Lepisosteus oculatus: one gene and its partner. The protein of the gene in region 2 interacts with the protein of the main gene of each other region in a biochemical or structural test. Links are inferred from orthologs where the notes say so. Each region holds a gene or a part of one and is shown on either strand. Other genes may lie near its edges.

Region 1 (7,620 bases), on a different chromosome or scaffold from region 2:
GGTAAAAACCAAAAAACACAAGATTGAGTTTGAAGCCCATGTAGTGAATAGTTTAAAATTGAAATATTATATAACTGCTAATATTATATTTCCTTAGCAACCAAAAGGGGGGGCAAAGACTTTGTGTAAATTAATCTACATAAGATGCGATTTGGATTTTGTGCAAAACGCCATATAAAATACAAAAAGCACCATTAAGACAACTTTACGCTGTCTTTGGAGAGAAAAGTTCAAATGGTTTCGGTTACATGTGATATCCATGACGTTTGGTGATTTGTTTATCCTTTTATGACATCACTCTAACGGAATTTGATCATAATCTTTTGATTCAAGATGTATGTAGTTTTTTCATCTAATTTACGTTGTGAAAATAGCGATTTTGACTATGTAAAGTTCATATACTGTATAAACTCTATACTGTATGTTCACCTTTGGATTATGTCTAGGCATTAAACCAAGGAGCTCAAGTAACGGTAGATATAACAATGAATTCAAAACAGAAATTACCCAAAGTTTGTATTCTTATTTAACTATGACCATTATTTAAAATAACTATTCTATAACTTCTTTACTTTGGTTTTGGTAGTGTCCCCTATTATATTTCTGAATCTTTTAGTGTTCTTCATCAAATACAGAACGTGTCTCACAAAAACTGGTCACCAAGGCTCATTTTTATTATTGGTACTGTCCAGTCTAATAACTCTAACAGATCACTCTCAAAGCATTTTTAATCTAGTCACGAACTACACAATGCAAGCAAGACGTAAATTAAACGTTCTTTATTATAAATAATTTTCCAAAACATCGTTTGTTCTAAACATTCAAATAACAACATATGCATATAACAGAATTAAGAAGCAGGAAATTATAGAATGTGAGTTAAAACTCTATTCTAAATATATTGCCATGTGTTTACGATACTCTTAGAAAACTGATTTGGTGTAACATTCTTTCTTAAACTGTATTTCAATACTCTTGTTTCTATTAAATAATTTTCTTTTGTCGGTTTTGGCCAGATTACTTCTCGCTGTCACTAATTGTAAACTACAAGTGCAGCTACTCAATCTACTGGTTGGCTTTCTTCTGTGTCCTGATTTCTGATTCGCGACCCCAGATCCATTTGAAGGAGTCCTGACTATATTGAGTACCCCAATTATTCCGTTACCAACAAAAAATAATTTAAGCCTCGAAATCACTCTGAGATAGAGTACGAAATTACAGATTTCTGAGGCTACAAAAATCTCCAACAGGCCTTCTTCTGCTTGGTTGTCTAGCTGTATAAAATGTTTGTGGGCGTTTTCTTCAATTATTTTTTTCTTTTTTTCAATTCCAAGTGGAGTTTGACATCTGGTGACTATCGAGTTGATCCTCTGTGCCGAGTCTGTACAGGGCGTGAAGCTCAGTTGCCGAATATTCTCTTCTTGGTACCTGGCGGGGGAAAAAATACGCTTTTTTAGGAAGTTGAATAGGTAAAATTACAGTCTAGTGAAATGACCTACTGCTTATATTGATTACTATAGAATAATAGCACAAATCCTATGTACTGTCGAATATTCTCATACAATGTGTAATTACAAAACCGAATATCCCCCACTCTAAAAATGTGTAGTTAAAGAGTCTGTCAGATGTCAGTTGTAGTTATACGTTGGAACCATATTTACTGATAATGCTGTGTTTCTTTGGTGACTTTGTTATGAAGACACCATAGGTTTACAAGCAGTGGTTGTTACAAATGATGTTGTGTTTCTAACTATACAGTAAAAACTAACGAAATATGCTTACAATTAAGACCCAGAATCATTCATATAAACTCTATGTTTTTAGCTGAGTAACATAAGCATTCTGCAGACACGTGTTCAAATATTTTACAGGTTGCTTCAGATTATATTGCAATGCAACTTCAGTACATACAGTAGAGACGTTTTAATAAGAACGGTACTTTCTTCTTATTAAAAGGATACAAAATGTATTAGACCTTCAGTGAAGATGGGCGGTTTTACGCACAGATTGTTAAAGCACTGGAGTGTCGGACTGTGCATTTTGCGTTACCCAACACATTGTAATATTGAAATGTGTTACTATTAGTGATTTAAGATATGTCTGATCGTACAAACAGCACCTCTTCGTGACTAGATTTCTTAAGAGAAACTGAATGTAAGGAATATGTACCAAATTTGGAGCTGTTGCATCCTAATCCACTCCAGGAACCAATTCTGTCAACTCTATTTCCAAAACAACCACCGAAAGACTTAGTGGTCCTCGCCAAACCAGCCAAATCTCGGAGTCGGGATCTTGGCGAATTTTCTTGGATTAATCTGTTAGGATTCAGCAACAGATTTTCCTCTTGCTGTCGAAGAATCCCCGGAGAAACAAGAGCGTCTTCGCCTGAATCCATACTTAGTTCTTCTGATCCGGGGTAGAGTTCATTTTCTTCACTGGGGGTCAGTTTCTCTTCTAGTCGCTCAATTATGTCCTGTATTGAAAAAGTACAAGAAAAAAAATTAAGACAGTTCTCCCCACTACAGTATTATCAGCTGGTTTCTAACAGCTGAGAAGTAGGAAACATTTAAGATTCGAGTTTACTTTTGGCATGGAGCTCTTACCTTCAGAGTGTCGAGATCTTGGGTGCTGTACCTATTGAACAAAGTGCTTGCCCTTGCTGCATTGTATATTATCAACAAAATTAAAAAGGAACAGTAAACGTCTAACTTTGCCATTCCTTTTCAGATTCGGAATTCGTGAGACTTCTTGAACGCTGCGTATGAAATGCGTCTACAACGTGGTTATTCGGAAGGTGCGCCTTTAATATATACCCGGACCGCGCTGTCGGCATCTGTGATAAACCGCTTGTTATGACAGAAATCAACTTGACATTCCATCACGTCCAACTTGATAAGTGCTCTAGTTTCAGCTAAGGCGTGACTGCCTTTTAAGATAATATTTGGTGGAGTCTTAGAGCTGAACTACTCCAAAGAGCACATTGAAGACCATCCGGTCCGCGCGTAATTTCTGTTGTCACAGGTAAAAGGCGCAGCTGACCATTTTTGTAAATGTTTTTATTTATGCGTCGATAACGCATTTTCACGATTCCTACTTGAAATGGTTTTAAAATGTATGGTTCAAGAGTACACGTTGAACAAACTGCGCCTCCAAACTCCAAACTATTTTAGTAGAAACTGTAATACAGCTGTATTCTGAATATCTCGACTTCACATAGAGTTTTGGATAGTACTGTACTGTAGTTATGTGGTTTCTTGAAAGAAACTGAAGTGTTTCTTTTATAAGCCCCTCTTGTCACGCTGGGATACAGGAAACACGTTTTAAAGTTATTTGCATGTAACGAGCCGTCAAATGCATTTGTTATTCATTTGGTGGTGGATGCTGCACATTGGTGGTGGTGGAGGGGAGTCCCCATTACCTGTAAAGCGCTTTGAGTGGAGTGTCCAGAAAAGCGCTATATGAGTGTAAGCTATTATTATTATTATTATTATTATTATTATTATTATTATTAATATTAATATTCAGTGAAACCGACTGAAACTGTCGATCGTGTATAAGGTATGGCTGTAAAGTAGTATTACTTTCTTAATTACTGTAAAATAATAGATTTGCAGCGGACCAGTGCGTGTTAAGTGATATGAATATGTTGGAGAATAATACACGATGTTCTGTCATCAGGTAACTGGTTTTGAATGCTCTGAGACCGCTGGCGCTGTAGGCTACACATCTCCTGTCGAGTCGTTGTTGTGGCCTATGTGCTCTTTCTTTAGTGTGGTATACTGTAAGATGAAAATCAGTAACAGACTCCTTCTCTTCAATTGAACTTGAAGGCTTCAAGTCAACCTTTACTCTGTGTGTGTGCGTAAATATCAGTTGATTCCAAACAGAATAGACCATATCAGAAAAGTGGGCTCTTTATGTAAATAAATAGATTTAAAAATACATGTGTATTTGCCTTTACAAACTTCCTCATCCCGTCGTGTAATAGGTGTATGGCTTTACAATTTGACCACTGTTGATGGACCACTGTTTTCTTCACTGTATTTGCGATAAGACATTAATCATGTCTTGAAACATACATATGCTCAAATGACAACAGCACTTTTAAAGTTCATTTCTCCAAAGGCTTTATTAAAAAGCGCCAACCTTCTTGAAGAACTAAGCGCTTTTGCACAAAATAAATGGCACGGAAAGCAGTCACATAGGGGACTGCCATTCAGAGAGTGATTGTGTTTGAAAATAGCTGTTGTGTTTTTAGCTCTATAAATGATGTAAACGTCCCACTATATAGCTGTTGTAATGCTACGAACATGGCAGGTACTGTCGCTCCAAGGTGTAAAGATGTCACTGTAGCACAAGAGCTTCGATTTCAATTTCAGTCCAATATGACGCACACTGACATAACAGAAGTACCAATAAAATACTGCTGTCACACAGTGTCCCCAATGGTTTCCAAACTTGAAATTAGTACTAGTATCTTTTCCGTGTTATTTTTCATTCATTTAAAAAGAGAACCTTGTGAAAATGAATAACAGAAACCTTCCACAGCATGGAGCCATTTCCCTGGTAGTGTCTTTAAGGAAAACATAAGTTTGAAGTTTCATCGGTGAATCTATTTACTTGGTGAAGACATTCACTTCGTTTTTAGAAGGTAAACAATTCGTTGAGCCAAATGCAGAAAATGCACGTTTCGAAATGACAAACAGAATTCACCATTTACTTACTAAGCAAAATATTTATTTTGTTTTTATGCAATTCCATAGATATTTCAAGGTATTTTGTACAAGAAGAATAAATAGTTAAAACAATATTAATAGACTTCATAGCCTAATAGCTTCATTTAAAATATATACATCTCTAAACTAGAACAATTCAATTGAAAACAAACACATTACATCTTTATTAAATACTTTCATAATAAATACTGCTGTAAACTTTCAGGTCATTCTTTCTGGAATGAGTAGAAGAACGTCCATTGTGTAAGGTGACTTTCCCGAGTTTACTCCTTGGGCTCGGCAAAACCTGGAAAGAAAGAAAACATACCCATCCGTGAGTGCGAGAGCAGGACAGCACTGAGCCGCTCTGTGAACTTCTATTCTCATCACGCACAACCAGGCTTGCAAGTCTAACTTTGCGCACGAACGAACGCACGAGTTAAGATTGTTCTTGCACACAACAGCCTAGCCTCCTGGTTTTGAAATAAAATGACACCTTGTTAATCTAATCAACACTTGGCTTGATACGGTATGCTGTAGCTTTCTCACTTGAGCAGACTTTCACGTTTTCGCTTTGCGCCTTAAATCCTGCGCGCTGTGTCTCATGGAGACTACATCGTAGAAAACATACTGTATGTCGCTGTAATATGCGTTTTCTGCACTCGGTCCGATTTAAAATTTATCAACGAACAAATAGTAAATGGGCATTCCATTTGAAAATAGCTGTTGTTATTTTTAGCTTACCGGCCTGGTTAGCACCCCAGTCCGCTTGTGGAGCCGATCCTTTCCAGCCGGACTCCGAAGCAGCTCCTCAGGCTCCCTTTCTTCATCCTCCTCCACGATCTCTTGGAGGATGTCAGAATATCGCTGAAGAGGCGCAGCATCAGGTCCTCGTTCGCAGACTGCTCGAGATCCCTTGAGTTTTGGTTCCACGGCAATTCTGATGCCGTGTTGTAGGCACCATTTTCTGCTGTCAGGTCTCCTTCTCCCTCAGCCTCTTCTGAGGCGGGATAAGGTGGATTCCGTTCCTCTTCCAAGAGCTGCGTAAGGGTCTGAAAAAAAACCCCAACAACACAAACTGTTAAGGAGCCCTGACACGCAGAAGAGCAGGTGCTCGCCTTACGAATGCCCAAGCCATTGGCCTTGCTCGTTATTATACAGGAATTAATTGCCTTTCACAAGAGGGAATAACAGAAAAGTTCCTTCTCAACCTTCACACGAATCCAGAACAACGAATTTCTGAATGTAAGGTCCTACAGACACATTTGCAATGCTGTACAGTAGGTTGGTGTTTAAATTCTAAAGGTAACACCACGAGATTTTCATATGGAAAAGAAATTAAATAAAGACGCTTTATTTCACATTGTTGATGCTATAACAAGGATGTTTTATTTCTAATTTGAGCAAGGTTTTAAATAGTAGCTTGATCTAACTGAAAGGAATCAATACAGTCTATACGCTTGGAATCAGTGTCAGCAAAGTACTCTTAAATCCACAAACTCTAAAAGTCTTACCTGCAGGTGGGACACCGGTTTAGCTCCAATCTGGTTTAGAAGCAGCACCAGTACAGCGCAGTAAATGCTGACTTTTGTCATCATTCTTGAAATTCAGTTTGTTTTTTTTTCTTTTATTTCTTTTTCCTTTTATCAGATTTACCGGAGTTTTATTACCGTGAGCTTCGGCAAGTTTCTCTTCGCTCTCCTATGCCGGTCCTCGGCTTTTATATTGCTCGTGAATGTCGTCACCGAGACCTGTGCGATTCCAATTAAATGTCCGAGTTAAAAGGAAAAGTGGGCTTGTCGTTTTCAGAATCTCTGAAGGACTACTACCTTGCTGATAGATAATACCCATTACTCTATTTTAATAACCTGTGAAAACAGCAATCAATCGTGATACGAAGGATGTGTAATCCTTAATTACGGTGATTGCTGTAGTTAGAAACTACCGCTACTTGAAGAAAATACCAACAAAAGTGAAAGATACTTGACGCCAACCCATTTCAAGGCAATATAATAGATAACGTATATAAAGTTATCTCTATTAATCAACAAAAAATATCGATTATGTTTAAATTCTTCAATGCTGTCTAAACGTTTTTGTTTCTTTTTTGAACATTTTTTCCGTGAATAACAATAGATCACGTTCAGTATTAATTTAATACTAATACTAATTAACAGTTATTGATTTGGAATATATAATGCACAATGCTGCTCATATTGTGACTAATATAATTGTAAAATACAAACAAAGGCAAATATTTAATGTACATTATTTAGTTTCTTGATTCTGAAGTTCTGACTTTGTTTCCATCATGATACTTTGATTTGAAAACAATAAATAACCTGTTGAAAATCAAATAAAATGTCCTGTTAGTTACAGCTGGACATGAATGTAGGTTAGCTGTTGACTCAAAAGTTGTGCAATCAGCATTTAGGAGGCTAAAGGTACAACAACTGATCACCTGGCTTTAGCAAATTAATTTAGAATATATCAACACCTTGGATATGTGAAACACCTGGTTGAATTGCCTTATTATTTTTATGCATTTTGCTGCATGGCAACTGGTACTGTAATATGAATACATATTTGGTGTTCCTAAATTGTCACTAAAGTTTTGGTGCATGCTGTGCCAGTCTGTAGAGCTGGCTGCTCCGTTTCATGGTCTGATCACAGACAGATCAGGTGGTTTGTAATCATTATCACTGCATTGCTTATAACTGCTTTTTACTTATTCATTAGAATAATCGCATGCAGATGACCTTATTCTGCACGTTTCTTGATGCAAGAGATATGAGTCAGGAAGTTGTGCTGAAACTCTTAAGAACTTTAAATTTCAGTGCAATAAAAATATAAACATTGAAAAGCAAATATTCACTCGAATACACATAAAACAAGCATTTCAGAA
Region 2 (8,344 bases):
TTATCTTCAGGGATTCTTCCAGCAGGATTTCTTTTGTGTATTCTCTGATTCTATGTGGCGCTTCTCTTTCTTTTCCGCCTGATCATTCCATTTACTTGAATCAACAATGCTGAGATCTGTACTCTGCTGAACAGTTTTCTTTTATAAATTTACAAAGATATTTAAATGTCTCCCGAGCTCTTAATACTGCTTTCTGGAAAAACATTTTGAAGCATAATGTAAAATGTAACATATTTTAGAATGCTCTGGAGCTTCCAGGGAGGAAAGGATGATTTCCAAACTGTCATCTATTTTTTCAGTCTTGCCCTTAGACAAGTGCTAGTAAGTTTTGTCTCTCTCTTCGATCCTTTCAACGCTAACCAGTGGAGATTCTATAAATGGAATGAGCATTTTTCTCATCAGAAAACTTTTTATTTTGTTAACCCAGAGCTCTTTCTGGAACCACAGTGCACTAGCTGATATTACATGTAGGGATTAATTCTAGTCCATCACAGGAAACACACACACACAATTTAGAGATGCCAGTTGACTTAGCCAGAATGTCCTTGGAAAGTGGAATGAAACCACCACCTGGTTTCAACATCTGCTGAAAACTTACACTGAACTCCACACAGAAGGTGCCCCAGTCCAGAACTCAACAGATTTTCCAAAAGATGTAAGGCAGCAGTGCTAACTGAAATGCCACTGTCCTAGAGAATGTTTATCATCTGTTTCTGAGGTTATATATGTTTAAGTATATTTTGAGTGGCAATGAAAAACATTCTGTCAGGACTAATGTAGCATTAACTGGGAATTGTGGGGGTGCTTATACTGTAGTGCTAGTGGGTACTGGTGGGTGTTAGTAGCATTAGAGTGAGAACTGTAGGAACTATTTTAGTATTAGTGGGGGTGAATATAGTGTTAGTAGGTAGTGCAGGAACTAATGCAGTGTTAGTGGGTACTGTGTTAGTGAGGGTGAAATGTTACTATGTAATGTGAGGACTAGTGTAGTGTTAGTGGGTTCTGTGGGTGAATATAGTATTAGTGTGTACTGTGAGGTGTGAGGACTAATGTAGTGTTAGTAGGTACTATGGAGTGAATATAGTGTTAGTGTGTACTATGGGGTGAATATAGTATAACTCCTGTATATCGTAGGGGTGAATAGTGTTAGTGGGTACTTTGAGGTGAATATAGCAAAATTACTAGTTGATGTGAATACTAAAGTAGTGGTAGTGGGTACTTTGGGGGTCATTATATTGTTAGTGGGTAGTGTGGAAACTAATCTACAGTAGTATCAGTGGGTCCTGTGGGGCTTGATAAAGTTTTAATCTGTACAAGGTTCAAGAAAATATTAGTGTTTGTGGGACTTCATACATTTTTACTATGATATAGAGGAAGATTTTATGAAGAGTTCACCAAACTCCACAGTCTTGAGTTTAGAAAAAAATCGACATGACAATAGTGATGGTGGTGCAATGTATAATACTTATACTTTAGTAAGAGAAGTATGTTGTTGATCTTTAAAATTCAATTCTAGTAAGAAAGTGTTATTCTACAGTAAAACAGCAGCATTTACCTTTTACAACTTTTACAGAAAGGAAAAGAATACAGAAAGAATATTGGAAAGCAAATCATGAGAGAATGATTGCATTGGGGTCAGTTAGATATGAAATTACTAGCTGATGGATAATTGCTTTCCAAAAATATACGTCTAAAGGTACTGAAGCACATTCACATGCATTCAGTGGCATACATGGCTTAATACTGGATCAAAAAGACTATTGGAAGACATTTCAGGACACATAAAAAGAACCTAGAAAACATCGGGAGATGGAAAGGAAAACAGTATTGTGATGAAGAACAAAAAAGAACAAGATGGCATGTCAAGATAGCGCGCTGCCTATCACCCAGCAACTCACAACTGGCAACCCACAAAAGCTAAACAGGTCAGTACCTGGATGGGAGACCTCCTGGGAAAAACTAGAAGAGATGTTAGTGGAGCCAGTTGGGGGCACTCACCCTGCCATTTATTTGGGTCCCGATGGCCCAGTATAGTGACAGGGACACTATATTGTAAGAAGGCACCATCCTTCAGATGAAACATTAAACCGGGGTCCTGACTCTCTGTAGTCTTTAAAACTCCCAGGGCATTTCTTGAAAAGAGAAGGGGTGTTACCCTGGTGTCCTGGCCAAATTTCCCATTGGCCTTTATCAATTATGATCTCCTAATAATCCCCATCTATGAATTGGCTTCATCGATCTGTTCTCCTCCCCACTGATAGCTGGTGTGGGGAGCATACTGGTGCACTATGGCTGCCTTTGCATCATCCAGGTGGGGCTGCACATTGGTGGTGGAGGGGAGTCCCCATTACCTGTAAAACACCTTGAGTGGAGTGTCCAGAAAAGTGCTATATAAGTGTAAGGCTATTATTATTATTATTTAGCTATACAGATACAGCAGCCAAAGAAAACTAAAAGTAAAGGTGTCTGTTTATACAAATAAACCAAATCTAAATATTTAAAGGTAATAAAAATACATTCAATTACTATTAAATGGTGCATTGGATTCAAGAAAAAAAATAATGATTGCTTGGTATCAAATTAAGGGACCCAGCTCAGTTTTGTAAATCAATAAATCTGAAATATAAAATAAACAACCAGTTGTTGAAACCTAATGGTATTTTCCCAAAGAAATAAGAGGCTATTAAATAGTGTATTGTGTTTAGTCCTCTATATTGCAGTTTTAGAAATGGATTGAAGAGTGAACAGAATAGTTCATGGTGTCAAAGAAATGACATGCACAAACGTAAAACATAACTAAAACTTTACAACTCTTCAGTTTCAAAGGAGGTGAGTATGAGGGTATTTATTCAGCTGTTCATAACCTTAAAGGCTTTGTCAAAGTCATCTTAAAAGACTACTTTAGGCAGACATTAAGCAAAATAAAAAATTAGATACATGGATAGCAAGATTATGAGGATAATTTGGAATAAAAATAAGATACATTTTTTTACAAGAATACATCATGGGTATTTGGACAACAAACCTAGCTACTGTATGTCTGCTGAAGCAGACCTTTAGGAAAACTTAAAAAAATGGCATAATGAAACCCTGAGAGTGATTTTCTTCTGAATTTTCAGATGAGCTAAGCAGGTTTAATGACCTCATCTTCCATCATAACTGTTTTGATCCTGAGGGGGCATCTCAGAGGCACACTGGTTAGCATTGTTGCCTTGCAGTACTGGGAACTTGGGTTCAGTCTGGGACCTGGAGTGCTATCTGTGTGGAGTTTGTATGGTCTCTGTATGGTTACTGGAAAACAATTAGCCCTGGAGCAAGTGAATGCGTGTTCGTGTCTGTCTGCCCTGTGATGGACTGGCATCTTGCCCAGGGTGTATCCTGCCTTGTGACCGTTGGTTGTCAGGACAGAATCTGTTCCTGCAACCCTGAATTGGACAAAGCAGTTAGAAAATGGATGAAAAGATGGAATTTTCTGAGGCAGGAGGACATTATTTTCACCAGTAGAGGGAGTCCTTTCATTAATAAATCTCCAAGTTGTCAGACAAAAGGAAAGAAAATACATCAGATTTGACTAAATCGCCTATTTATAGGGCTGACCTACTTGTAGGTCTTTTGAATCTTTATTTTAGTTAACATCAAACATCTAAAAAAAACTATATATACTTAATCTTTTTTATGTTTTAAAATTATATAATCTCCTTGCTCCATTGAGCGTGGGACTGCAGTTTTTCAAATTAAGTAGAATAATAGATTAGAAATAAAGATCAATTAAATCAATATTCACTAATAATCATGGTTGTTTAATTTTTTTCCCATAGAAACTGTATGAAAAAGACTGATAAGAGAGTTTGAAACAACACTTTTTCCATATATTTGACAAATGTCTCGCAATAGTTTTAGTTACCACATTATTAATAATAAAATACATGATCCTGGGAGGAGAGCTAAGATATTGTGACCTCTAATTATCTGTAGAAGTTAGTACCCCTCTCTATGAGCTAGATATTTTCTTCTTCTAGTAGGTAGCTGTGTCAGCATGTGTAGGCTGCAAGGGTAAAAGATAAAAGTTTATTCCATGCTGAAAGGGAAAAAAAGACACAACATTTCAAACGAATTATTTACAAGTAACACAATAACTACAAAAACCTCATTTAGAAGTGACAAAATACAGTAACATTTGTTTTGTATTCTTTCCCTTTTAAATGGGGGTTTCATGTTTTCCATTCTATTATTTAGTTCCTCTTAAAAGTATACCCCTTGATTATTTGTTACTCTAATATTGTATGTATTAGAGACACTGCAGTCCTTTCCCATATAACACAGATATTTCCATTCTGTTGTGATTTTCCATTATGATCTTACTAGTGATGGTATTCTTCATTTCATAGACATTATTTTGAAATAATATACAGTACATCAGAGAAAAGATGTTGAGGTTGAACAAGTTTAAATTGAGCCAGTTCTAATCTAGGAAGATGTGTGGAAAACAGGACATTGACCCAGATACTTTAGATACACAAAGCCATATACGAGGTCAGGACCCTCCTCAATAAGGAGCCCTAGGCATCCCACTGACATCTGAGGGGACAATTTTAAGTGTAATGGTAGAAAAGTTGTTTTAAAGTGATTGTAACTGTTGTGTACCCAACATCATTTTAATCTTTTTTAATCTTAACCTTTGTGCTCTGTTTTTTTCTGCTGCTCTTAATCAACAAAATTGAACAAAGGAACAACGCTTTATAAAGCACAAATTTAGTTAATTGTGAATCTGTAATATCCAAATCCTAATACTGTATCGCACTGAAAGTCAGTGTTATTTGTTTGACAGGCAGATGGCGCCACCAGCCCGTCTATGATTCACCTACACTGACGTGACGTTTTTTGGGGGCTGAGCTGCAGCTTTTACCGATGTTTTAAGTTGAAGTCATCTGGATGGATGCTATCACATACAAGAGAGGACCCGTGGAAGAGTAGCAAACGAAGTGATTCGGCTCGACATGAGACTGAAGTTAGCAACGGCCTGGAGAAAGAACTACATTAAAGGATTTATTAGGAAATTATAACAACATAATAAACCTGTGGATTATTATGATAATTATTTGGATTGATTTTTCTATATTTTACAGGGTTAAAATAATCATACATGCTTTGGTTGCGATATTTAAATCTCTGTTATCAGGTGTCTTTACTCGGTAAATTACTGTTAAGAAGCTTGAAATAGTTCATCTTCGTTGAATCCTTAGCAATGGGATACAAAATGAAGCTTGGATGTAGTTTTCTTTTAATGTTCATTTTTTCTCTGTTAAGCACTGGTAGAACAGATCTGGGAAAGAATATCACAGTGGCTGTGATGTTGCCTGATAATTATAGCAAGTACGCCTGGGCACTTCCAAGAGTCTTTCCAGCAATTCGTATGGCAAATGAAGAAATTCAGAAGAACGGCGGACTTCTGAGGGGGTACCACCTTAACCTCATGAACACCAGCACTGAAGATGAAGGTGGTGGCTGCTCTGAAACTCTTTCTCAGATAGTTGCTGTGGATATAAAACTCTACAACAACCCCGACGTTTTTTTCGGACCTGGTTGTGTGTACTCCGTCGCTTCGGTTGGGAGGTTTGCCACCCATTGGAAGATCCCCCTGATAACAGCATGGGCACCAGCCTTTGGGTTTGATCAGAAGGATCAGTTCAAAACTGTTGTAAGGACCGGGCCCTCAACCACGAAACTTGGAGAATTCGTTTATAATTTCCATTCATATTTTAACTGGACCTCCCGTGTAGTAATGATCTATCATGACTTGAGAAAGGATGACCGTCCTTATTATTTCCTATCCGAAGGCATTTATAGTATGTTGAAGAACGCAAACGTAACAATTTTTCCTCATCCCTACTCAGAAACACAAATCTATGATTACAAAGAAATTATTACATTCATTAAAGACAACGGAAGAAGTAAGTTTGGAGATATTTGCATGTACCCTATGCCTAAAATGCAGCACATTTTCAGTACAAGTAGATCTTTGAGATGTGACCTATAGTCTTTAATCGAGAGATGGGTAATCTGTTGAATACTAGGTTCACTTGAATTTATGTAATGTTTTCGGCATTGACGGTGCTAAATTTAACACAACTGTTAAATTGTTATTTCAAATCATACAAATAGGTAATTTCGATTCGCAGAATATTATTTAAAGTATAAACTTTGTGCAATATAATTTTGATGTTATGTTTAATTTTCTATACGTAGATTATATATAGAAGTTCCACTAAAACTATATATATGTTAAGAAAAAATTGCATCATAACGATGACTGCTGCAGTTAACAGAAAAGAGAAGAGATGTATTATTTGAGATGCATTTCTTACTCTATAGAAAAAACTATTTTAATGAAATTTCATGCTCTTCATTGTGACCACCTGTCTATGTCCTCTGGATCTTTGATCTTTCGGCCCTCCGGGCGAGTTATTTATGATGCCTTCTTTTGGCAAGAGCCAAGGGGGCTGAGAGACTCCAAACTCGCTGCGTCTGGATACATTTTTTCAAGTCTTCTATTATACAGGTGGGATTTTAGATGAAGCCAAAGCTAATTATTTAACTTGAACAGCGCAGTGGATTAAGTCAACGTTTCAATCACATTTTTAATTTTGATTGAGGATGTTTTACTAGACTTTATAGAATGAAGTATGCTGCACAAACGCATAAAAAGTAAAAGCATACAGCCTCCATGAAAGTACACGTTAATTATCCTACTTTAAACATTGTGGTAGAGAGAGCATTTTTTTGCTTCAGTTGCTGTACAATGTGTGGTAAACAGTTCGGTTTGCTAAACATGCTATCCATTTTTGAACATTAAAGTAATTTCATGATGAGTCAATGGATATTTACAAAAAACGATCACTTAGTGTTTACGAAATCGCACGTAGTATGTAGTGAATGATTAGCACAATACTGTTATTTAAAATGTAAGTCTTACGAATTTCTTTAAGCATTACAGACTGTGTGTAGGAATCAAACAGCCAGGAACGTACATACATACACAGTACTTACTCCCAAAGCACTCAGACTTTGAACATTTTATGGGGTAAAACAACTCGGGATCAGAAGGTTGGTGAGAGCCCTAACAGATTTATGTAATGAATACAGTATCACAGTCTGCGGGGAGTTCCTCGTTTCCCTTTAGTTTGCGTTGTAAGACAAAGGTCACGAAAAACTAATATTTTGCTAAAGCATTAATCTTACACAGCAAAAAGTTAAGTAATATATAACTTCACTCTTCAGAACGCCTCTGTCATATTATAAGTATAGGTTTCAGACTACCTTTAATCAGAAAAGTGGGGAGGTTGTTAAATATCTGAAATTTCACCTTCCCCTTTTCGGTTTTTGTTTTGCCTTTCTGCAGATTGGTGTTATATAATGTTTCAACGGATTTACACTGATCGTTTGTGTGGACATGAATTCTTAAACTACTCCAGTAAATCCTAGTAACCAACAGATAAAAGTCGTGCATTTTTCCTACGTAGTCCCAATGTTCCCAAATTAGGCCTATATGAATTAATTGAAAACACTTTTACATAGTGATGACATAGCACCTTAAATACCAAAGAAGCGGTACAGTGAGAGCCGCAACAATATCGCTGTTTATTTCTGACTTTTAAATGTATACTGTATGTGTTATACAGAGCACTGCACGTGCAATTTCTCACATGATTATGCAGATGTATTGCAAATTATTACCACATACCTGGTCACAGCATAAGTAAAGAAGATGCAATTATGTAATTCATCCTAGCAAAATAAAGTCGTACTCAAGCCGTACATAGTGCTCACTTCGTTTTAAAAGATAAATCATTGATGAAGAAACTGATTTAAACTTGTTTAAAATAAATTACAGCCATTAATGTATATAAAACAATTGGACGATTGAAAGGTTGATGTAACAATTCTAGTAGATGTGCAGATGTCAGTTTGAAGTATACTTTACACCTTTTTCAAATTTCAAGGTATACCTACTGTCTCTGAGAGTACTGCATTTTGAAACTAGCTTAACATGGAATCAAATACATTTGTTGAAAGTATGTGATCTGCTTCATACTTGTTGAAGATAAAGGCTAACAGCATGTACTGTATAATAACTCATTTCAGTTTGGGGGTTCAGACATCAGATATATGATGAATATATTTAATTGCATTAACATGTAAAGCTATTTTGTAAAAGCCCATAATTATATACACTACAAATAAAATTTTACACACTAAACCTTAAAAAAATATTATTACATAATTTGTTTTACATAATTGGGTTTGACTATTTTTTCAAATGGAGCTTACTAAAAAACACTTTTCT

The links.
Region 1: the proteins of npr2 (region 2) and ventricular natriuretic peptide form a complex in vitro, tested with the Homo sapiens proteins (3 studies listed by BioGRID). The link is inferred for Lepisosteus oculatus from reciprocal best matches to the Homo sapiens genes NPR2 and NPPA.

Annotation. Positions count from the first base shown.
Region 1 is NC_090720.1:4,677,257-4,684,876, forward strand, and holds ventricular natriuretic peptide, read right to left. Parts: upstream 2,802-7,620; 5' UTR 2,718-2,801; coding exon 2,604-2,717; intron 2,474-2,603; coding exon 2,170-2,473; intron 1,429-2,169; coding exon 1,400-1,428; 3' UTR 765-1,399; downstream 1-764. Other genes in the region: nppal (natriuretic peptide A-like), read right to left, coding at 5,468-5,767, 6,230-6,313.
Region 2 is NC_090698.1:29,194,045-29,202,388, reverse strand, and holds the start of npr2 (atrial natriuretic peptide receptor 2), read left to right. Parts: upstream 1-4,957; 5' UTR 4,958-5,245; coding exon 5,246-5,951; intron 5,952-8,344. UniProt on the Homo sapiens protein: Receptor for the C-type natriuretic peptide NPPC/CNP hormone. Has guanylate cyclase activity upon binding of its ligand. May play a role in the regulation of skeletal growth.